4 linked regions of the Rattus norvegicus genome follow. The protein of the gene in region 2 purifies or fractionates together with the protein of the main gene of each other region. This does not show direct contact. Links are inferred from orthologs where the notes say so. Each region holds a gene or a part of one and is shown on either strand. Other genes may lie near its edges. The genes, in order: Sdhaf1, Hscb, Iscu and Sdhb.

Evidence for each region.
Region 1: the proteins of Hscb (region 2) and Sdhaf1 purify together in Homo sapiens (co-immunoprecipitation; 3 studies listed by BioGRID and IntAct, with this or other methods). This does not show direct contact. The link is inferred for Rattus norvegicus from reciprocal best matches to the Homo sapiens genes HSCB and SDHAF1.
Region 3: the proteins of Hscb (region 2) and Iscu purify together in Homo sapiens (affinity purification with western blotting; 3 studies listed by BioGRID and IntAct, with this or other methods). This does not show direct contact. The link is inferred for Rattus norvegicus from reciprocal best matches to the Homo sapiens genes HSCB and ISCU.
Region 4: the proteins of Hscb (region 2) and Sdhb purify together in Homo sapiens (co-immunoprecipitation; 3 studies listed by BioGRID and IntAct, with this or other methods). This does not show direct contact. The link is inferred for Rattus norvegicus from reciprocal best matches to the Homo sapiens genes HSCB and SDHB.

The regions. Positions count from the first base shown.
Region 1 is NC_086019.1:94,701,684-94,706,751, reverse strand, and holds Sdhaf1 (succinate dehydrogenase assembly factor 1, mitochondrial), read left to right. Parts: upstream 1-2,140; 5' UTR 2,141-2,166; coding exon 2,167-2,523; 3' UTR 2,524-3,090; downstream 3,091-5,068.
Region 2 is NC_086030.1:51,479,223-51,485,770, reverse strand, and holds the start of Hscb (iron-sulfur cluster co-chaperone protein HscB precursor), read right to left. Parts: upstream 4,429-6,548; 5' UTR 4,401-4,428; coding exon 4,168-4,400; intron 1,438-4,167; coding exon 1,341-1,437; intron 1,076-1,340; coding exon 986-1,075; coding exon of another isoform or gene 981-985; intron 1-980. Other genes in the region: Chek2 (serine/threonine-protein kinase Chk2), read left to right, coding at 5,857-6,184.
Region 3 is NC_086030.1:48,511,602-48,517,309, reverse strand, and holds the end of Iscu (iron-sulfur cluster assembly enzyme ISCU), read left to right. Parts: intron 1-22; coding exon 23-136; intron 137-880; coding exon 881-991; intron 992-3,113; coding exon 3,114-3,192; intron 3,193-3,993; coding exon 3,994-4,079; 3' UTR 4,080-4,458; downstream 4,459-5,708.
Region 4 is NC_086023.1:158,545,168-158,551,512, forward strand, and holds the start of Sdhb (succinate dehydrogenase [ubiquinone] iron-sulfur subunit, mitochondrial precursor), read left to right. Parts: upstream 1-2,766; 5' UTR 2,767-2,786; coding exon 2,787-2,858; intron 2,859-6,345. UniProt on the Homo sapiens protein: Iron-sulfur protein (IP) subunit of the succinate dehydrogenase complex (mitochondrial respiratory chain complex II), responsible for transferring electrons from succinate to ubiquinone (coenzyme Q).

The sequences.
Region 1 (5,068 bases), on a different chromosome or scaffold from region 2:
ACACAGCCTTTAGCCATAAAAGATGGCTCAGCCCCAGTCTTCTGTTCCAACTGCAGAAACAATATGCCTGGGTATTGAAAAACAACCCACTCTGCTCTCAGCCAAATTACAAAAGATCCCTGTAAGTTCCTCGTGGCTACCTATATATGTGTGTGCACATAAACATGTCCCCCATCGCCATTAAATGCACCCAACCTTCATCCCACAGAAATGTTTCAATGAAGCTATCGCAGCCTACTGAAATGGAGTCGGTCCACCGCTGCCTTGTTTCTCCTACACTCAGCACCCATTAGATTCACAATGGGTGAAGCCTGTAGACTTCATGGGCTCTGACCCTCTCCTCTGGCCTGTCCAATGTGTTCACATACATACATGCTGGAGAGAGGGCTGAGTGGTTGAGAGCACTGACTGCTCTTCCAGAGGACCTGGGTTCATTCCAAGCACCCATACCATGTTGGCTCACTACAAGCTGTAACTCCATCTCTCTCTCTCTCTGTCCTTCTCTCTCTCTCTCTCTCTCTCTCTCTCTCTCTCTCTCCCCCTCTCTCTCCCCATTCCCTCTCCTCTCCCCTTCTTTCTCTTCTATTTAGTGAAGGGGGTAGAATGGAGGGCAGGGATAAAGGGTGGGATAAAGAAAAACCCATGGGGCTGGGGATTTAGCTCAGTGGTAGAGCGCTTACCTAGGAAGCGCAAGGCCCGGGGTTCCGTCCCCAGCTCCAAAAAAAAGAACCAAAAAAAAAAAAAAAAAAAAAAAAGAAAGAAAAAGAAAAACCCACAAAGTAACAGAGACTGGCTACATTTAAAAGCTGAACTTTCGGGGGTTGGGGATTTAGCTCAGTGGTAGAGCGCTTGCCTAGCAAGCATAAGGCCCTGGGTTCGGTCCCCAGCTCCGAAAAAAAGAAAAAAAGAAAAAAAAAAAAAAGAAAAAAGCTGAACTTTCTGTCAGCTCCAAGGGAAACTCCAATTCCCCCAATTCCAAAGGGCAGTCCAAATATCCAGAAATGAGCTCACCCTGGACTGCAGGAGGATTTCTGGTGGTGAAACAAAGCCAGCACAGCTCAGGAACTTGAGAAACTTGGCATCCTTTCCCTCACCTCTAGAAGGGATGTATAGCTACATGTGGGGCCTGTCAATAAAACAAAGAGCCTGCAGCCTTATCTCCTGCTATTTGTTAAGGGTTAAACCTGACAACGGTTCTGCCATATTGCCTCAACCTTCATTTTGTGGCTCATGACCTTAACCTGACCTAATGTTCCCTGACCATAACATCATGTTGTCGGTTAGAGCCTCCCTGGAGACCTCTGGGGATTTCCTAGCCTTCCTGCCTCTAGACCCAGCCAATGAGCTTAAAGGTCAGACAGTGCTGCTCTGTCAAGAGAGCCAAATGCATCTGTTCAGGGGTTTCCCCCATATAAAAACTGGCCCTGAGAACTGCCTGAGGTCTGCATGCCTGATTAATCAGTCTTGGAATGTGTGCTCAATAAACCGTCTCGATACCCTACTGACACTGGTGTCACCCAGTGATTTGTGTGGTTAATCCTGAACCCCAACACTATTTTCTCCTCTCTCACAGACAGCTCTGGCTATGTCCAATCTACTTCCTCTGTCTATTCTGGACTCTTCTAGATGTCTCTGGCTGTCCTCTCTCTCATATCTACAACAAACAATTCAACAAACAGCTTTCCCTTAACCATACCATGGAGTGGTCATGTCGTCAGTTTATGCACTTTCCAGCCCCCCAAACAGTAAAAATCTTTTTAAAAACTGCTTGTCTCTTCCCAATATCCCTATGCCCCCTGGTTATTCCCGGATTCGAACTCTTCGCTCCCAGTCCTCCCAGGACTCAGAACTATCTCCTCCTATTCTCTTCTAACATCTAACCGCTTAGGCTCTGCCCCCTGCTTCAACTCAAGTTCAGAAACAACCAGGACTGTAGGCCACTCAAAGACTACCCTTTAGGGTGAACCGGAGCACTAGAGACCCGGTCCACTTCCAGGGCCGCCACGACGTACTGCAGTACTAGCCAATCGGATGCGGCGGCACCGGTTAGCAGGAGGCGGGACTTCTGGCGGACGTGACTGTGGCCCTGCCCGTTAGCTTCTCAGCACTGTCTGTCGGGGCGGTCCTTCCGGTAGGGTCCGGGCGACTGACCGCGACGCAGCGGTCATGAGCCGGCTTAGCCGGCTGCAGAGGCAAGTTCTGAGCCTGTACCGCGAACTGCTGCGCGCCGGGCGCGGGAAGCCGGGCGCCGAGGCACGGGTGCGGGCCGAGTTCCGGCAGCACGCCAGCCTTCCGCGCTCCGACGTGCTGCGTATCGAGTATCTGTATCGCCGGGGACGGCGCCAGCTACAGCTGCTGCGTTCCGGCCACGCCACGGCCATGGGTACTTTCGTGCGCCCGCGGGGCCCTACTGAAGAACCCGTCGACGCGACAGCCCCGGGGAACAGGCTGGACGATAGTGATGCCCTAAAGAATCCTTGTGAAGGCACGGGAGCACGGGAAACGCGATCCGATGGACGGTGACAGACCCAGAGAAAGGTTCCTTTTGACAGTTTGGGAGGAAGATCGGGAACTCATCCAAATGGAAGCTGAGATGTCTTAAGAGACAACGGAATTTTCTCGATGCATGGTGAGAGGTCAGACACTCCCTCACCAAGGAGGTTCCGGGCATCCGGTGGCACCGGCTGGCTGAACAATGTATGCTGGGATTCACCAACCCAAAGTCAAAGAGAGCACAGACTCACGTTCTCCTCCCCTCGGGGCGTGACACCTCTCTTGACTTCTAAGAACACATACACCTCCCCACTCCCTGCCTTTTGCTGTTTTTAATGCCGAGAAAACGGCCTTTTTGCCGTGCATGTTTAATGGAACACCCTGATGAACCATGAGAAGCTTCGCGGTCCGGTTTGGAAAACCACTGCCCGACTTGTTGTGAAGAACCAGGATTGTAAGGGAGGTTACAGTAACTCACCCCAGCTGATGAGCCTGAGACTTCTGGAGAATCCCTAGCCCCTATTCTTGTCAGTCTTCCTCAGGATTCTTGTATAAAGGGAATAAATGTGAGGTGTGCTTTCTTCCTTGTTGTCTTAATAATCTTGTTGATTCTTTCATTAGGGGCCTTTGCTTTTTCTTTTGAGACAGGGTCTTGTTAGAATATAACCTCGGCTGCTCTCAGCGTCAGCTCCTTCTGCCTCAGCCTCTGAACTCCAAGATTATTGGCACGTACTGCCATGCCAAGGTTGGAGAGGCAGGCGGGAACAAAAGGGAGGAAAATGGAACCCCAGCTGAGGCTTGGTGTGTGACATAAAGAGCCTGTGACACTGTTTTCATATGGCTTTTATCTCACTTTGTTACATCACTCCCACCCTCCTGCCATAGGATGTTAGCTCTCTGCTCATCTCTCAGCTTCGGTTTTATTTAGCAAGGTGATCTTGGTTGGGTAGTTTTTGTTGTTTTTAAGACATGGACTCACTTAACCCAGGCCGGCCTCAATCTGGTCATGTAAGGGATAATGGCTTGCAACTCCTCCGTTCACCTCCAGATTACAGGCTCATTCTACCACAACACATGCTAATCTGTGTTTGCTCTGTTTATGGCCTTGTGCTTGCTGAGCAAGTGAGATAACCACTGGGATTCTCTTCCAACCCCAAGGTGACCCTGTTGATCTTGGTGCCATCTCAACTCCAGGTCTGAAAGTGACTACTGAAGTCCTACCCAACCTGTACCCTTGACATATCCCAGTCTCCTGTCTCATCTCCTGGCCCCAAGGGCCTGAGCTACATAGAGCAACCTTGTCTCTAAAAGGAAGGAAAGGGGGCCAGAGAGAAGGTTCAGTGGAAAAGGGAGCTTGGTGACAGGCCTGACTAGCTGAGTTTAAATCCCAGGGAACACACAGGAGATGAGAAAGAACTATGGCAATCTATGTCCATCTGCCTGTGTGCACACAGATATGTAGGTAGGTAGATAAGTGGGTAGGTAGAGATAGATGTATTTAGGAAGACAGACCATGATGACAGATTCCCTGATATACCCCTTAGCTACTGGTTTGCATTATCTTAATGTGGGCTTTCCTAGAAGCTACTGTTCCCCAGGCCTCTTCAGTACCCGATTTTGCATTTCCAGTAGCCATTCCATCTACTTTGAAGACACACTCCCTTCCCCATGGTTAGCCCCCATGATTCCAGCAGACCTGACTGGCCCCTCCTGAAGGCAGAACACACGGCCTAAACCAGTTGAGCCCTCCTGGGGACTCTTAAGTATGGAAGTTTAAAGGGAGAGCTATCCTGTTGACTATAAATTGATAGACACTCTAGCCACTAGGGAATGGACAAAGACAAAATGGGTGGGTGGGGTGGGAGGGCAGAAACAAAGACATCATTAGGATTTAGTTGTGCCAGAAGTCCTGAATGTCTGTTACCACACAAACTCCTGTTCCCATTAAGTCAGGGATCACTTGGCCTTAGTCACTCGCTCTTGGGTGGCCTCGGCCCTGACCTCTCTTGGCACCTGGCTACAGTGGGGCCTTGTGGCAATTCAAGGAGGCGTACATTCTTTCTGTGTGCAGCTTGGAGGCCAGCACAGGGAGGAGGAGCTGTGTTCAATGAGCATGGGCTAGCACCCGGCTCTGCTTTGTTCTTGTATTTGTGTTACCACCTCTTCCCTCACACCGTAGATTTGAGGAGATCAGGCTGCAACCCAGTGTGGACAATCCCAGGACTTCATACCAGAGCTGCGGATCAATGGTGGACCACTTGCCTGGCATGCTCCAGGCCCTGCCTGGGTTTCATTCCAAGCAACGCAGAACAGAAATATTAGCTAGGCCTGGTGACACACACCTGTAATCCCAGCCCCCTGGAGGTCGAGGCAGGAGGTTCAAAGTCAGCCTGAACTCTGAGTAAAACTACCAAGGGGAAAAATTATCCTATGAAGGAGAGTGACTGTCTCAGTCCTGAGCTAGTGACAGCCTATACCGGTCCATGCAGAATATGGGAACATCTCCAGGATGGGCGTGAGACAGGTGCTGGCAGTGCACCAACAGCACCTGCCCCAGCCTGGCAGCTGCTTCCTT
Region 2 (6,548 bases):
TGGTTAGGAAACACCCAGGGTTATATAAATCCCGTTTACTCCTTCAGAGTACATTGGTACTCATGGTGGGGGGTGACCTTTGAGTATCAGGTAAGATGGAGCCCAGAGCCTAGTACATGCTAAATATGCACTGTATCACAGAGTCCCAGGTCCAGCCTGGGAAACTTGAGCTGTCCTAGCAATAGTGAGCGCTTGTACAGGACCGCACTCTGCTGCCTGCAGCCGGGCGCTGGGTGGTCACGCCTCTCCTCAGGCGTTAAATGTTTATAAACATTCTCCTCAGTTCTAAAATGGTCTAGGTGTTCCTGCAAAAGAGGCTCTACACGTACTCTTTATCATCAGATTTATAGAAAAGAGTTAAAGCACTGCAAACGGGGGGTGGGGGTGAGGGTGGGCGGTGGGGTTAGGATATGTAAAAGGAACCAGGCCGGGTGGTACACGGCTGCATCACACGTTACTCAGCAGGCCAAGGCAGGAAGATCACATGTTAAGTCCAGCCGGGGCAGCTGAGCGAGACCGGTTCAAAAGGTAACAAGGCAGCTGGGGATATACTACAGTGGATTCAAAACCTGGTACCATCAAAGCAAACAAACAAACAAGCAAGCAAACAAAAGAAAACCCAGTATTGGTCATGCAGGGCCAAGGCACAGTTCAGAGCACTTCCTTAGCCCGAGGCACTAGGTTCAATACCCAGCACTGAAGGAGAAAAAAAAAAAAAAAGACTAGAAAGGAGCTGGATGTGGGTGCGGTGAAGCAAGAGAATTAATAAGTTGGAGCCAGCCTGGGCTACAACGGTGAGATTTCTTCTAAAGGAAACACACAAAAGATGGATGTACAAAGAATGCTAAGAAAATTATATTGTATAAAACCTTTTCCTTTCTTTCCTCTCCTGTAGTATTTTTGAGGTAAGTATCATTAGCTTCCTGGACTAGGCCAGGTCTCATACAGAGGAGTCCCAGACAGATGGGTTGAGAAATCACCTTACAAGATATAGTCCTCTGCTCACGGGGGCCTGAAGAGTCTTGTAGGCATCATTCACCAGGGTCGAATGCTTCTCCGAGAACCGTTTCTCAGTCTGCTCATAGAGGTAAAAACAGTTTTATTATCACCAGAGCCAGTCAGGCTGGTGTGTTTTTGTTATCTGGGAAGCCAGATAAAAGCCGGGAGGAAATGACATCTTTGGGGCCTGCCTGTCTAGGGGCAGGCTGCCACAGGGTGGAGCTAGCAGTCCAACTCTTTTCCAGAGTAACGGAGCGACCCACCCAGTTGTGCACATACATGGGGGATAGTATGCAGGCGCGCATGTGTGTGTGTGTGTGTGTGTGTGTGTGTGTAAATACCTGAGACTTTTGGCTGAAGAAATCTGGGTGGACAAGGCGCTGTAGTTGCTGGTACCTTTGTTGAAGTTTCCGGATGTCAACCCTGAAGGATTGGTTGCTGGAAGGAAACCAGATGTTATTCATGTAACAAAAGAGTAGTTTCACCAGCTATTTACTAGGGGCTGGTCTTGCTCTTGGGGAGGGTATAACAAGCACATAAACGAAGGCTGCTTTTAAGACGAGGTAGCTGTAATGAAGGGAAACGGAACAGGCTCGGGAGAGGTCGTACAGGTATGACATCTGAGAGGAACCGGATGAGCAAAGATCAGAAAGGGACATTAAGGGAGACACTGAACTGACTGGAAGGTCGGACAGCTTGACACATTAAGGGATAAGGTCGGTGTAATGCATGGTAAGCTCTCAGAGGGTCGGTCTCTGGCATGTTGGGCAAAGACTTTAGCACCAAGCCACTCCCTTCACTCTTCCTGACTACCAGACCTCTTTTTACTTAAAAAAAAAAAAAGACTTATTTATTTATTATATATTAGTACACTGTAGCTGTCTTTGAATACACCAGAAGAGGGAATCAGATCCCATTACAAACGGTTGTGAGCCACCATGTGGTTGCTGGGAATTGAACTCAGTGCCCTTAACTGCTGAGTCATCTCTCTACCTCTAAGACAGATTTTTTTTAACTAAGGTACCCAAGTTGACTTGGAAATCACTCTCTGTATATCCCAGGCATGCCCAGATTTGCAATAAATCTAATTTAGCCTTCTTTTAGGTGGGATTACAGGTCTGTCACCGGGTCTGGTCTAGAGTGTGTGTGTGTGTGAGAGAGAGAGCGAGAGCGAGAGCGAGAGCGAGAGCGAGAGAGAGAGAGAGAGAGAGAGAGAATCAAGATCTTGTGGATTTCTTTTTTTTTTTTTTTTTTTTTTTTGGTTCTTTTTTTCGGAGCTGGGGACCGAACCCAGGGCCTTGCGCTTCCTAGGTAAGCGCTCTACCACTGAGCTAAATCCCCAGCCCCGATCTTGTGGATTTCAAGCTGCTATGTAGCCAAGTTTACCAGCTTAACTTAAAAAAAAAACCCAAAAAACAACAACAACAAAAAAAACCTAGGTGTTGCTCAATTGCCCAGGGTTGAAATTTTTGATACTCCTTTTTCAGCTTCCTGAGTAGTTGGACTTATAGGTAGAGACTACTACACAGGCCATTAATACCTAGAAGCACGTCTTTTATTTTTTGGTCTTTTTTTTAAAGATTAATTTTTTTTTATTATATAAGTACAATGTTGCTGTCTTCAGACACAGTAGAAGAGGGCATCAGATCCCATTAAAGATGGTTGTGAGCCACAATGTGATTGCTGGGAATTGAACTCATGATCTCTGGAAGAGCTGTCAGTGCTCTTAACCACTGAGCCATCTCTCCAGCCCCTTTTTTGGTCTTTTTAAAGCATAGTATTGGGATTTGAACCCAGGCCTTGGCTAATGCAAGGAAGGTTTTTATCACCAAGATAAAGTGAGGATTCTGCACTTCTTTCTTCTCAGGGAGTGATTCAGACTGACTCTGTGTAGTCTGCAGCTGGGTAGCCCAGATTGCAGGATGAAACCTGAACTCCATATTTTCTTGTTTTTGTCTGGAGGTTGGAATTGCAGGTGTGTACAACCACAGCTGGCCCTCCCATTTTACTTAAATCTGCTCATACTTCTCATATTTCTGTACCTCTCCAATCTTTCCCAGGTGGGAGTGGGTGTGGGGGAGGCAGGGATGGAGCAACGGCTCAGTGGTTAAGAGAATTGACTACCTTTCCAGAGGTCCTGAGATCAATTCCCCGCAACCACATGGTAGCTCACAAACATCTGTAATGGGATCTGATGCCCTCTTCTGGTGTGTCTTAAGACAGCAACAGTGCACTCATATACATAAATCAAAAAAAAAAAAAAAGAGGGGGTGGGGTGGGGCAGGTAAAGTACACTAAACACTTCTTGGTCTCCCTCAAATCTTCAGCCTGAATTAAATTTTCGTTTCTTGAGACAGGGTCTCACTGCTTAGCCTATGTTTGGCTCCCATGTGTGACCCTTCTCCTTTAGCCCCTGAATACTGGGATTCCGGATATAGGCTATTACACTTGGTTTGCTTTGTTCTTAACTGCACTTGGTTTTTGAGACCAAGTCTCATGCAGCCCAGAGTCTCATCAAACTTGTCTTATATAGCTCAGGTTGCCCTCAAATCCTTTTGAGTGCTGGACCCACAGGCATAATACCAACACACCTGGCTTGTTTTGTTTTTGCATTTTCCGTTAAATAAATAATTTATTTGAGATGTTCCCTATTTTTGTGGTTGGCCTCCAACTGGGGAATCCTGCCATAGTCTAGCATGCTTTTAAACCCTGCATTGGTGAGTCGGAGGGGGGCGGGTGACGAGTTCAGGGTGACGCTACGTTTTAATAAACCCTCCCCTTTTCTGCTCCCTTGAGTTTAGCCAATGTATTTCCCTTTTCCAGAAATCCCACCCCTCAAAACTCCCTAAAATGTAAACTCGTCCGTTTCCGTTTTTTGAAGTTTAAAAACAAGGCCCTTGTAGCAGAGGCTAGTCTTGGATTCCTGAACCTGTGTCTTCCACTTCTCAAGTGCTTAGATCACAGGCATACCTATGACCTATATACTTATCTAGCCTTTTAGTTGAATCAGTCTCCGCAAATTGTCTAAGCTAGACTTGAACTGTGGTCCTTCTGCCTCAGTTCCCACGAGCTGGCTGGAAATTACAGGCCCGCAGACGCCGCCCCAAGCCTTGATCTCTAGGGTTACGAAGCCTGAGCCGCCCTCCAGTCACACCGCGCCGCCTGTACCAGTTCATGAGGCTGAAGTAGTCCCGAGTGGGGTCAGGAGGCTGCAGCGCGCGGCAGTGTGCGCAGAAAAACTCATCCCCACGCCCGGCTCCCATCGCGCGGCCGCAGTTCCAGCATTGCGGCTCGATGCTCTTTCCCGAGGCGGCATTGCTGCTCAGCAGGCTCCTACCAAGGAACCTAGCCAGTCGCACCTCCCACACGCACAGCAGGGACCGAGCCCTGCAGCTCCACATTCGTAAGGCCGCCTGCTGGCCCGGGTTACCAGACCGGAGAAAAGGGAAGAAAGTGGCTCGCTGCTGATTGGCTAGGGAGCCGAGGAGGCGGGACCAGCTGCGGGAAACCAAGACGCCGAGTCCCGTTTTGGAAGCTAAACTACAACTCCCAGAAAACCTAGAGGCTGTGCGGGGGAAGCCACCTTTGGGCTTTCTTATTGGTCCTGCCGAGGAGGAAGGCCTTTTGATTGGCTGAGGGTGGAGTTTGTATCGGTAGGTTTAGCGCCACACCACTGGCTGCGGCTCTGGAGTGTTTGTAGCTCTTGGTGGTCTTGGGCGGTGAGTCATAACTGGGGAACTTTCTGTTTGAGTGTTTGAGGATTCGAATACCGTTCTCCGGTTATTTGTGCAAATGGGCCCTCCGCAGCTTCCGCTTTGTCTGCTTACTCGTGCGAGCGAGGGGGCGCTGTGCATAGGCAACCCTTTCTTTTTATCTGCCCTTCTGGGGGGAAGTTCACTTTCCTTGTTACTTGCGAGCTGAAACAGGTCTGGACACATAGGAAGGTACAACGCTGGGCTGTTTGGTGCCAGAGCGAAGTAGTTTTCATAACGAACATTATAAATGTTCATGCCAGCCCCTAGATTGCTTTTTCCCAAATACCAACTGAGAACCCAATCTTCGCTGCTAGGCTCTGCAGGAACTGAAGAGGGTACGTCAGCGTACTCAGCATACGTGTGGGGTAGGATGGCAAGGAATGGATAGGAGACAACCAAACAGCATCTGTACATGAAGGAAGATGGTCTAACGCTTTGTAAGTGGCCTCTGTAATTCTATTCATAATCCTGGGATTTTGCTGTGGTCACTTTTTTTTTTTCACCCATCATTGGGCCTGCCTTTCTTTTTAAGGTGGTCATAATGTGCCTGTTCCTTTAAACTTTTATTTAAAAAAAAAAAAAAAATCACGTGTCTGTGTCTAAGTTTGTGCAGTGCACACGGGGGCCAATAGAGGGCACTGTATCCCCCAAGAGCTGGAATTACAGGTGTTTGTGATCCTCTGGTTGTGGGTGCTGGGAATTGTACACTTTTAACTGTCTTCAGTTTGGATGTTTGACGATACGGGAATGGGATCCAGTGCTTTGCATCTGTTGGAGAAAGGCTCCACCATCTACCATTGAGTTATAGCCACATACCTAATTTTTGGGTAAAGATTCACTTTACTTTTAATTATGTTATGTGGGTGGGAATGTATACATGCTCTGGTGCTTGCAGAGGCCGAGATCTACTTCAGATCCACCGGAGTTGGCGTTACAGGCAACCTTGAGCTGCCAGACTAGGTGTAGAGAACTTACTGAACTTGGGTTTTGCAAGAATAGTATATGCTTCTTCCTGCCCAACCAATCTCTCCAGCTTCCGTTCTTTACTCTTGAGTCCTGAGCCTTGTTCCTTATTGTTGGATTCGTGCTCTCAAGGTCGGATATGAAGAGTCATCAGTCCCACGGCAGCACCTCCTCGAAGGCTCATGACAGTGCTTCCTGTTCACAGTCTCAAGGCGGCTTCAGCCAGTCCCAAGGCACCCCCTCTCAGTTGCACGACCTCTCACAGTATCAGGGTGCATCCAGTTCCTCCACCAGCACAGTGCCATCCTCCAGCCAGTCCTCCCACTCCAGCTCTGGGACCCTGAGCTCTTTAGAGACAGTGTCTACTCAGGAACTCTGTTCTATTCCTGAGGACCAAGAACCGGAAGAGCCTGGACCTACTCCTTGGGCTCGGCTATGGGCTCTTCAGGATGGATTCTCGAATCTAGGTAAGGCACTTGGTAATATAATATATAGTGCGTTGTCGAGAGAAACAGTCAGGGAAGGTGATTAGGTTGTTGTAGCAGAAACCTCAGGGCCCCTGTAACTGGCTGTGGTGGAGAGTGTCTCCTCCTGGCTGCCACTTCATACTGAGGATCAGATTTGGGCCTCTCGCATGGTAGAGAGGTTTTAGACTAAGCTATCCCTGGCTCCCTTATCTTTATTTTCAAATAGAATCTTGTTAGATTTCATAGGCTGGCCTCAAATTTTTTTTAAAATTTTCTTCAGAGAAAAAGGTCCCATGTTGTCCTGGGTTAGCCTTGAACTCACTACGTTGCTCAGCCTGGGTAATGAACTCTTGGTCTTCCTGCC
Region 3 (5,708 bases), about 3.0 Mb from region 2:
ATCTGTTGATCTGCCATTTCAGGTTGTGGATCATTATGAAAACCCTAGGAACGTGGGGTCCCTTGACAAGACATCTAAAAATGTTGGAACCGGACTGGTGGGGGCTCCGGCATGTGGTGACGTCATGAAACTGCAGGTACTGGCTGGATGAAAAGGATCACCCCCTGCACCCCAACAAGAAGTTTGCTCACAGAGCATTTCATCTTGTCTGCCATTCCTGTGAGGAGGGATGGGCGGCTGACAAGGATGGGTCTCTGTTCCGAAACAGGTGGCCTCATTCTCCACAACACCACCACACCAAGGCATCGGTAGATCTTGCTTTCACCGAGTGAAAGACTTTGTGACTGTTCTGACCAAATGAAGGCCCCCAGTGAGAAAAGGAATGTGTTAACCAAACCTCTCCAGGAAAAGGAAGCGGGGTGGAAGGTGGTGGGCTGGGCCTAGGTCAGCTGGAGTTTTAGCTCAGCCTCAGCCTCCTTAATGGCAGGCAGAAAAGAGCTGTTAATTACAGTTGGTGCCCAAGAGAAAGGGATTGATGGAGACCTTGGTTACAGACTCTGTCAGTGCCTGAGGTGCTGATGGGGGGACATCTATAAACAGACCCCTGCAAAATAGGCACTCACATACAGCAGGCAAGGGCCGAAAACAACCAAGCGGGGTGAGGGGCACTGTTCCTTGCCCCTCTCCCAGCTGAGCCTGTGTGGACCCCAAGTTTCACTTTCTGTCGCCAAGTCCTTTGAAGCAAAACACAGTGATGAATGTCATGGCATGTGGAGTCATAGCAAACCAGGGCTCGTGTGGAACACTCACCTCTGGAAGTTCCCGGCTCCCGGATTCCAGGTGTCAAGCTGTGGCCTCTCAGCTCCCGTCTCTTTTCTAGATCCAGGTGGATGAAAAGGGGAAGATTGTGGATGCCAGATTTAAAACATTTGGCTGCGGCTCCGCCATTGCCTCCAGCTCCTTAGCCACGGAGTGGGTAAAGGGGAAAACGGTAAGGCTGCTCAGAGAGGGAGGGAGGGAGGGAGAGAGAGAGAAAGGGGGGGGGGAGCCCATTTTTCTAAGGTTTAATTTCTCTTCCTACCCGAGCACTGATTACATTCCTTACTCTGGAAGTTTAAGACCATCTTGTTGCTTGAGGCAGTGTGTTAGTCACTGTTGTCACTGGTTGCCAGTTCAGTAGATGAGAATCGCCACCAGGCCTCCCAGCAGTAGAACTGAAAGATGGTTTTGGGCTTTCCCTGATGTCCCTAAGGTCACCAAGGTCCCCTAAGAGCTCCTGAGCAGCATTTACTGTTTGTTTCATCCCATCTCCTCCTTCAAGGAGGAGTCCAGAAAGACATGCACAGATTGCAAAAACAACTTTGTCGGAGGGAGGAGTTGGAATTCAAAATCTGGGGCTGGAGAGATGGCTCAGTGGTTAAGAGCACTGACTGCTCTTCCAGAGGTTCTGAGTTCAATTCCCAGCAACCACATGGTGGCTCACAACCATCTGTAATGAGATCTGATGCCCTCTCCTGGTGTGTGAAGACAGCAACAGTGTACTCATATACATAAAATAAATAAATGTTTTTTAAAAAGAAGCTAAGGAGCATTTAAAGAAAAAAAAAAAAGACCCAGTAGCTGTGAAACTACCCACACCAGCACAAGGTGGTGGCACACGGCACACCAACCTGTAATCCCAGCTCATAGAAGGAAGGGGCAATTTTTTTTTTTTTTATCTTTATTAACTTGAGTATTTCTTATTTACATTTCAATTGTTTTTCCCCTTCCCGGTTTCCAGGCCAACATCCCCCTAACCCCTCCCCCTTCCCTTCTATATGGGCTTCCCCTCCCCATTACCACCCTCCCCCCAACAATCACGTTCACTGGGGGTTCAGTCTTGGCAGGACCAAGGGCTTCCCCTTCCACTGGTGCTCTTACTAGGCTGTTCATTGCTACCTATGAGGTCAGAGTCCAGGGTCAGTCTATGTATAGTCTTTGGATAGTGGCTTAGTCCCTGGAAGCTCAGGAAGGAGCAATTTAAAGATCGCCCCAGACTGTATGGGACCCTGTCTTAAAGTGGTGTGCTCACCCTTTGCCCCCTCCTGGGGCCCAGTTCAGGAAGCTCAGTCATGGATTGCTGTGCTCAAAACGCCAGCCAGCTCTCTAACAGCCACCTGCTCCTCCAGATTCGGGCATCTGGTTATTGAACTCCTGGAGGCCAGGGAGACCCAGACCTGCTTGTTCTGGGAGAAAATGGCTCAAAGGAAGTTGGTTAAGAAGCAGCTTTGGAGAAAGGGGAAGTGAGATTGGGCACCTGCTCCCAGGACCTGGCCTTTCAGGGCTCTGAACTGTATGGTCAGACAGTAGGAAGACCTTCTCTAACCTCGAGGTTCCCGTCTGAAGGAGACTAGCTTTTCTTTTTTTTTTTTTCTTTTTTTTTTTTTTTTTTTTTTTTTTTTCCCTTTTTCTTTTTTTCGGAGCTGGGGACCGAACCCTCAGTACTGACCTTCACGGGTGGGTGTGGGAGGAGGTGAACAGACAGACAGACTGCCAGCGGCCATTCTTGGTTTACGACTGAGCTCAGCCATCACCTTTGACGGCCAGCCCACACTCCCTGGGACCTGATCTCTGTCCACAGTGCCCCCTCTGTCCCAGCCAGGAAGGCAGGACCGTCCCAGTCGGTGTAGCAGGCGCACACTCTTGGGTCTTTCTGATTCTAGTTCCCTCCAGCTTACAAAGCTTGCCAGCTTACTTGCGTTTGCTAGGCAAGCGCTCTACCACTGAGCTAAATCCCCAACCCCGAGACTGGCTTTTCTTAATGCATAAGCAGGCCTCTCTGCCTCTCATCCCTCACAGCTCTCAGACCCAGGCCTCCTCAGGCAGACATTGCATAGCAGCCTAGGCAATGCCTGCCTTCAAGGGGCAGCAGGTCTTGTTCTTGCTTACCCAGCCAGGCAGCGCAGGTGTGTGTCCCCCCACTACAGATCCCTTGGTATACAGTGGCAGTCCTGCCCAACAGTGTTGAGTTACTTAGCAGGAGTTTTCCCAGACAGCCTGTCCTGAGGTGTGTTCTGCCCACCCTCAGCAAGGTCAAGTTCACTGAAACTGCACTTTCCTCCCTAACATTTCAGGTGGAGGAAGCCCTGACCATCAAAAACACAGACATCGCCAAGGAACTCTGCCTCCCGCCTGTGAAACTGCATTGCTCCAGTGAGTGCCCCGCATAACAGGCAGCTCGGGTCTGCTCAGAGTGCGCTGTGCCCGCCACCCCACACTCTGTGCCTCCCCAGTCTGTCTGCAATGCCTGGGGCCGTGGTACACTCACTGCACTGTCCCACAAGAAGCCTTGCACCTCAGAGCCTGCAGTCAGATCTGACACCTTCCTGTCCTCTTAAGCCTCCCCAAGAAAGCAGGAACGCAACATCACCCTAACATACTAGGCTTTCTGCCACCTTCCAGCTTCTCACCCACACCCCACCCTGTAACCTCACCCTCAGTACTGACCTTCACGGGTGGGTGTGGGAGGAGGTGAACAGACAGACAGACTGCCAGCGGCCATTCTTGGTTTACGACTGAGCTCAGCCATCACCTTTGACGGCCAGCCCACACTCCCTGGGACCTGATCTCTGTCCACAGTGCCCCCTCTGTCCCAGCCAGGAAGGCAGGACCGTCCCAGTCGGTGTAGCAGGCGCACACTCTTGGGTCTTTCTGATTCTAGTTCCCTCCAGCTTACAAAGCTTCTCTTCCTTCACCACCTCCCAGCAGGGAGATGGCCACCCAACCTGAGTTAGAACTTCTAAACCCACCCCCCAAAGTTGTCCTGTGACCACCACACGTGCCAGGCACATCCACCCATCACATACATGTACAGGCGCATGCATATATATTCTAAATAGATACATATTTATAACAACACACAAATATGCCATGATGTGTGTATAACTATAAAATGTGGAGACCACCCCTCCAGTGTCTAGAAATTAAAGCTGTCTACCTTTCCGTGCCTTCCAGTGCTGGCAGAAGATGCCATCAAGGCTGCCCTGGCTGATTACAAACTGAAACAAGAGGCCAAGAAGGACGAGCCGGAGAAGCAGTGAGCCCTGAGGACGCTCCAGCCGCTCACAGCAGGCCTCCTGCCACCCTGCACATCAGAGAAGCTACGCAAAACGCACACTACTCACTGTTTGCACTATGGCTCTGATACAAGCAAAATGTGCCGTTGATTACGCCTAATCCTGTGTTCCTTTCAGCTCACGTGTGTCCTTAGTGCAGTTGATGTCTTGATTGAGTTTGTGACCTGGGACTGAAATCAGCACCAAAGTCTTAAGCTCTGGAGAGTGACAGGGAGTTGTACCCAAGCTGCGGGGAGACGGCCAGCAGAGCACCTTGTGCTGGCTCTGATAGGATCTATCACTGTGTGTTTAGCAGATCTGCGTGTATATTATAATAAAAAATGGAAGACGATGGTTTTCTCTACTGAACCTGATTCTCGACTCCCTAACCCACCCCTAGTGCAGCCAAGCGCCTCAGGGTTCCCAAGGCCAGACTGCAGTGGGTGACAGCAACAGCCACTTAGCTTCTTTTGAAAGGCTGGAGGGGACGGCTGGTGTTCTTTATGCTGGGAAGCATGGTCAATTCACAAGGACTCTGAGCAAGCGTTCCTGCAATAATCCATTGGTCCGTGAAAGTCAGAAAGTAACCCCAGAAGCTGGCCCCTAAGCCTGTGGACCAATCAGGAAAAGCATTGGGAGATTACACCGTTGTACTCTAGGCCCAGGCCTCCAGCCTTCTTCTGGCAAATGGTTCTAACCTCCCAAGGCCTCCCAGGCTTTGTGTGGTGGACAGTGAACTGAAGCTGACTGGAGAAGCTCATCCGGTGCGAGTGTGTGTTTCTCACGTTCAACTGAAACAAGTACATGCACTGCCGTAGCCCTCAGTTCCAGATACACACACTGACTCCAACATTGGTAGCAGCTGCTCCTCCCCTGAGCTGCCCAGTTATGTAGCTCAGGGAAGGGCCCAGTTTTCCAGTCTTGGCATTGGGAGATGCAGCGAACTTCAAAAGCAAACTGTTTTCTGATGGTGGCTTTCTTGTCCAGGCATACACAGGCTGACTCTTAAATCATCCTTTAAAATATTCTGGGTTCTGGTGAAGGGCTCAGAACTTCAAAGGCCACTTCCTCCACAGTTGGGAGGAGACCACAGCCAGAGTCCATCAGAATCTCAAATTAGCCCCTGGGTGGATCCATGTCAAATTGTCCTGAAGGGCGTGTTGTAACTCAGTCCCTTACTTGTGGCAATGCCACAGTTCCCCACCCCTATTTCTGATTTTAAAATGAGACACTTCTGAATTCCACACATCAAGTTGCTGGCACGGTCCAACCCCGAGAATGTGAGGTGCAGCCCACAAGTCCAATTTCTGTAACTTTCTATAAATTTACTCTGCAATCAGGTCAATTTGGGACCCATGTACTCCTCACTGAACTAGTAAGGGGTTTGTCACAGTCTCCATGTGTGTCTTGGAACTCTTACATGCAATGGCTATCTGGGTCTGGGAGTATCTTTCGTTTCTTGCATCAAAGTACTCTTGCCTCGGCCTCCTGAGTGTGTCATTACGAGCATACGCCATCATGGGTGGGTCGCATGATTGGTTTTAAAAGGCAAAAAGATCTCTGAGGTCCCTCAAATTTTTCTCCATTGCTGGCAGCCTCTGAGGGAGCTGCACC
Region 4 (6,345 bases), on a different chromosome or scaffold from region 2:
TAGCCTCAAATCTGAGATCCACCTGCCTCTGCCTCCCAAGTTCTGGGATTGAAAGTGTGCTGCCACCACCGCCTCTTGGCCCCCCGTTTTCTCTTTGGAGGACTGGGAGAGGGGTTCTCACTATACCGCAGAGGTTGCGCTGTAACTAACAACTCTGTTGGGTATTTCCAAGGCAATCTGAGCTGTCGGGCCCAGCTTGGTATTGGTCTTTGCTCCCAGACTCTGTGCCTAGGCCTGGGGGAGTAGAAAGTTCCTCGAGCAGGATTCCCACCCTGGTTGCCCAGATTTCCCAGTTCTCAAAGACTGTCTGCAAGTGGGGACAGTTATTCCGACCCATCAGGGTTGTTGGGAGGACCAGGGGAGACTGTTGATGCCAACACATTTGTGGACGATGAGGTGAGGCTCTCCATAAACGCAGGGCGCCCAGTGGCATGTCTGATGAAAGCAATAGATCACTGTCTACACAGATGGCAACAAACCAACCCCAACCCTGCGGTCTCACGGCACGGACACCTTGGCAATCTAAGTCCAGAAGAGGCCATGCAGACCTTTAAATCCTATGGCCTCTGTGCCTTTCTGGCACCCCAAAGCTTAGGGCGGAGGTAGAGCAGCCCAGGAATTTATTATCCTTCCATAACGTTGAGCTTCCCAAATCCCCATGAAGCCCAGGAATGATGTGACGGCAGGGTGTGTGGGCCTACTGGCACCAGGAGCCCCTCTGTAAATCAAAGTCTCACTTTTGCTGGCTGCTGACTGCTTTTTCCAAGGTGACCTGGAAAAAAAAGGGTGGCCATTCGCGTAGGGGTGGTGTCTGCCTTTGACATGGTGGCTAAAAAAATGGCTAAAGAGACCAGTTCTCTAGAAATACTGCCTGGAGGAGTTACAAAGAAATGACAGTCTTCCTACAACCTTGGCCCACTTGGGTGGCCCCAATGGTCCCTTGGGTAGCCTAGAAGAAACTATCCCAGCCCTGAGCCAGGCCCCCTAAGAAGCCAAGGTAACCTTGCCATCTGTTGCACAAGACAACCATGCTAATCATAATCAGCTGGCACAACTCCTACTGATTCAGGCAAGGACACCATAAGTCAGAAGTGATGAAAGAGTTGTCAAAGGTCACATGGCCTTGAGGGGAGCAATCTAGGTAACCCCAAGGGTTCAGGACTCCCCACACCCTTTTTAATGAGGCCACCTGGCAGGGAAATCAGAATCAGGGTGAGTTCTCAGAAACTTGGCCTCATCTAACCATTCCTCCTGTCATGGTAATTTCTCCAGTGGCTTCTAAATGATGGGAGTGAGGAAACCCAAGACTATAAACAGTGCCCTCCCTCTGCCAAAGGTGAGCGGAAAGTAATAAACTCATTCCTCTGGTAATTGGGACCAGCAAAGTCACTGGGTACCTCAAGAGATCAAGTGACTTGGGATAGCAAGATCACACCTGCCCAAAGTGGTCAAATCCCCAGTCAGAAGGGCTCTGAGAGAACCCATTAAAAGTGCCAGAAAAAAGCAGCTCAGGTGGACTGGAGAGATGGCTCATTGGTTAAGAGAACTGACTGTTCTTCCAGAGGTCCTGAGTTCAGTTCCCAGCAACAACATGGTGTCTCATAACCATCTATAACAGGCCCTGTTCTGATGTGTCTGAAGGCAGCTACAGTATATTCATATAATGAACAAGACTTTTTTTCTTCTTCTTTTTTTTTCTTTTTTTTTTTTTTTTTTTTTTTTTGGTTCTTTTTTTCGGAGCTGGGGACCAAACCCAGGGCCTTGTGCTTCCTAGGCAAGCGCTCTACCACTGAGCTAAATCCCCAACCCCTTTTTTCTTCTTTAAGCAGCTCAGGTGACTAAGAAAACTGACAAAGCAAAATCTGAGGACACAGCTGGGTTGGTAGAGTGCTTGTTGTCCAGCACGTACTACCAGGCGTGGTGACACACAGCTATAATCCCAGCTCTCGGCAGTTCTTTACCTACGGGAAGATCTGAAGTTCAAGACAGTGGACAGCCTCTGTCTCCTTGGTGTCCAGCCTAAGCTGCATTACTCCTCTGTCCTATTGTCATCTTCCTCAAGGTTAGAAAGGAATTATGTGAGCCATTAACTCACTTACCACAGCACCCCAGAGCCTGGCGCCAGCCACACAGCAGGTGCCCTTTTTGATTGCTTTGGTTTTGTTTTTGTGTGTTTTAAGACAGAGCCTCAAGTATCCCAGATAGCCTCCACCTCACTAAGTAGCCAAGGATGAGCTTGATTCTCCTACTGCCTCCACATGCCAATTTCTGGGATTCCAGGCATGCAACTTACGTACATATTTATGAATAAATGAATGAGCGACACCTTTGACATTCATTTTTGTGACCGCCTCAATCGCTCGCCAACTGTCTCGCTCAGAGAGGGACTGACGGGTCCTCTAGCACAAAACTGATCAGACAAGAGTCACAGGTGATTGACAGACACGACTGCAAGTAGAGAGGGATTAAAATCACAGCCTTCAGCAAACTAGGAAAGACCCGCCCCTCCTGGCCTTTGCCCCACCCCTCCAGGCTACCTTCCCTCTTTCCCGCTGCTCCGACTCCAGAGGTCACCTTAGGAACATAGGAAGCCCAGTGGGCATGCGCCCTACTGGCCGCTACGGCACACTCGCACTTCCTGTCCGTTTACTCGGGATACCGGAAGCTGCCTTCCACTCGTTGGCTCTTAGGCTGCTAGCGGACCTCAAGGGGAGAGGCCGGCTTCCCACCGCGGTGTTCGACGGGATGCCGGAGGGTAAGGGGTGGGGCTGACGTCAGGAGCCAAAATGGCGGCGGTGGTCGGGGTCTCCTTGAAGCGCGGCTTTTCGGCTACGGCTCTCGGCAGAGTCGGCCTGCAGGTGAGCCCCGGAGCCGTAGTTCAGTGGGGAACCGTGCCGGTCACCGAGGCTGCCTGGGTGGAGAGTCCGCGGAGAAGCGGAAAGAGCCCGGGTCCAGGCCTCAGGAGAGGACTTACCAGCTCCCTGCCCCTGAGCATCCTTTCAGATAGCCAACCCGCGCTTCTCCCAAGCTGGAGAGTCGCGGCCGGGAGGAGGTTGGAAAAGATAACGGAAAGGCAGAGGTCAGGGAGGACAAGCGAATTGGTCAAGGTCATATGATGGGCGACCTGTTGTTGGAACCCAGAATCAAATCCTGATATTTGCACTCGACCAACCTTGTGTAAAAGGGAGGCCTGCGGGTTGTCTGGGACGGGTCCCGGGAGACCAGGTCGCAACTCCAGATTAGGCTGTTCTGCATCGGTAATGTCGGAGACCGCTGAACTCTGGAGGACAATGCACTTGACCCGCAGGGAAAGGAAGACATAGAAGAAAACGACCCAACCCCTGAAAGATGCGGACTGTAGAAGTTTGCAAGCAAGACCCGGTTCCCTGAAGTGTGTTTATTCAAGGGTGTGTAGCGGCACTGATCTCATACGGATGGCATGGGATGACAGACAGAGCCTGGAGCTGCTTTTGTTAATACTACTGTAGTGGCTCTGTCATAGGTCTCCCCACACGCCCTATCCTCGGGAGCTGTACACAGTGGAAGCACTTAGAAAGGCGAGAGAAACTGCCTCTCCTTAAAGATTTACAAATACCATTCAGTCCTCTTCTGGGCTCCTGGACAGTCCTTCACAGGTGGACAACAGGAACTCCGAGAGAGACTTTCTTAGTGACTTAAAACCTGAGCGCCCCCCCCCCCTTTCTTGTAAACTGTAGATCGTGGGCAGGTTCTTTTGTGGGTTGTTTTTTGTTTTGTTTTGTTTTGTTTAGATGTTTCCATTTGTACGTAGGAGTTATGTATAGGCACCATGCGTGTGCCTGTGGAGAAGAGGGAGCCGTATTTCCTGGAACTGGAGTTACAGGTGGTTATCAGCCGCCATGCGAGTGCAGAGAACTGAACTCTGCTCCTTCCAAACTGCTAGGACAAATCTCCAGCCTGTGACAGTGTTATTGTTTTGCTTAGGTTTTGGCTTTTTGGACAGTGTCTTTATGCAACCCTGGCTGTCCTGGAACTCAGAGATCCTCCTCCTTCAGCACATGGGAGTAAATGCTGAGATGAAAGGTGTGGACCTGTGCATCTCTGCATACACACCTATCATAGCAGCACTCGGGAGGCTGAGGCAGCGAGATCAGGAGTGTAAGGACATCCTCAGCCCCATATGGAGTGCAAGGCCAACCTGGGCTACTTGGGACCCTGTCTCAACAACAAAAACAGACAGTGCCTACCAGAGCCTCAGGCTGATGTCCCAAGTATTCAGTTAATGATCCTGTTTTGGTTGTTGAGAATTTCATGCATGACTACTGTATTTAAATTTTTTCCAATCCCCTCTCTCCTCCCATGCTCCCTCCCTTTCAAACTCATGACTTCTTTAATTAGCATGGCTAAATATATACGTACACAATCTCTTTAAGTGCATTTAGTGTTCCTTATGCATAAAGTGTTTAGGGCTGAGAACATGGGATCCTAATGACACCAGTTCATGCAAGCATGAATGGGAGAAATTTCACCAGGCCCCACCCCTAATTTAAAAGCTACAGCAATCAGTGACCGCACAAAGGGGGTGTATCAGTTTTCTTGAGGGAGGAGCCTCCTGATAGGTTATCCAGTTAATAATTCCGGGTGACCTTGTTTACTGTCCTCTTTCTACATTGCAGAGGCAGCAGTGAGGTTATGAGAGCCTCACTGTAAGGAGTGAGTTCTCAGGCTCAGGCGGGGCATTCTAGAACGAAGTGAAGAAGAGACTGGTTTCAAAGGTCAGCATTAGGATTTCAGGAGAGGCCCTTACCCACCTTTCTAGGGTAGTGAGAGTAAGAGAGGCCTCCTCCCTGTGGGAAGGTATATTTGTGCTCAAAAAGCCCCGTCCTGAGCTTGCTGTGGACTTTCCGTTCTGGTTCCAAGTCTCCTGTGATTGCTGTGAACTCATGGGAACAGATCATTTCCTGAGCTGTGCCAGTAGTTTGGCCTGCTCCTTGTGAAGTGGGTATCCATACCACCCTCCCCTTCGCAAAGGGGGAAGTGAGATTAGACTGGAGGAAGTGGGATCAGACTGGTTAAGAGATTCTCTAAAGAACTCGCAGCTTGAAGGTAACAGGGCTGGATCCCACTAACACACTTCAGATACAAGCCTGCCCCTTCCTTGAGTCTGTAGGGTTGGCTTTGCCTTCTTACCTTTGCCCACCTTCCTTCCTGGTGGCCGTGTCATATGTCTAGCTTCAGGCCTGCCCCTGCGGAAGATAGAGGAAGTTCATCTTCTCCAGGATTATCTAGAGACGTTCTTCCTTCGTGGCACAGTCACTGGAGTCATAGATCGAGGGCCAGATGTGTTCACAGTCTCCACTCCCATGGGGAACCTGGCATATAAGTTGCTGGACAGGGAGGGAGAGAGAGGAAGGAAGTCTCACACTACAGCCCATCTCCCTGTCTGAGCGGCCTTTTTTTAAAAGCAAAGGGTTTATTAGGAAAAGCTCTGAGAGCCGAGGAGATGGCTTGGTGGCTGAAAAGGCGTGTTGGTCAGATCTAATGACCAGAGCCCTGTCCCTAGAACCCACATGAAGGCAGAAGGAGGGAACCTACTTCAGAGTGTTCCTCTGCCCTCCACATGAGCACATCCTCGCCACCGACACCATGCACACAATCCAAATGCATTTTTGTTTAAAAAAAAGTTTTAATATAGATTTAAGCACAGACATTAGGGGAGAGGGAAAGACCATGAATGTACACAGGTTTCTCAAGAGGAGGTTGCTCATTCTCCTTCCTAATACCAGGGTTCAGGGCAGGCTAACAGGACTCCTTGGGCCAGCATACCACGTGTCCTGATGTCCATCCTGTCTTTCCTCATTTGTTCACCAAGGCCCTCTGCTAATTGTCCCCTCACCGATTCATAGCTGTTCTCTGCCCTCATGGTTATGCAAGGTACACAAGCATGCTGTGATTCCTGCCATCTTTCTGAAAATCACAAATCTAGGCTTGGAGAGATGGCTCAGCTCTCAAGAACACTTGCTGAGTTCAGTTCCCAGCTCCCATGTCCCGTCACTCACAGCCAGCTGTAATTGCAACTTTGGCAGATCCAGTGCCATCTTCTGGCTACCTCAGGCACCTGCACACATGGCATATACTCAGACACACACACACACACACACACACACACACACACACACACACACACGGCATACACGAGAATAAAAATAGGCTGGTGTGGTGGTATACACCTTTAATTCCAGCACTCATAAGGCCATGTAATCAGACCTCTGTAAGTTTGATGCCAGTCTGCTCTACTAGCAAGTTCCAGGATAGCCAGGGCTGGATATAAGACCTTGTCTCAAAACAACAGGACTAGCTGATTCC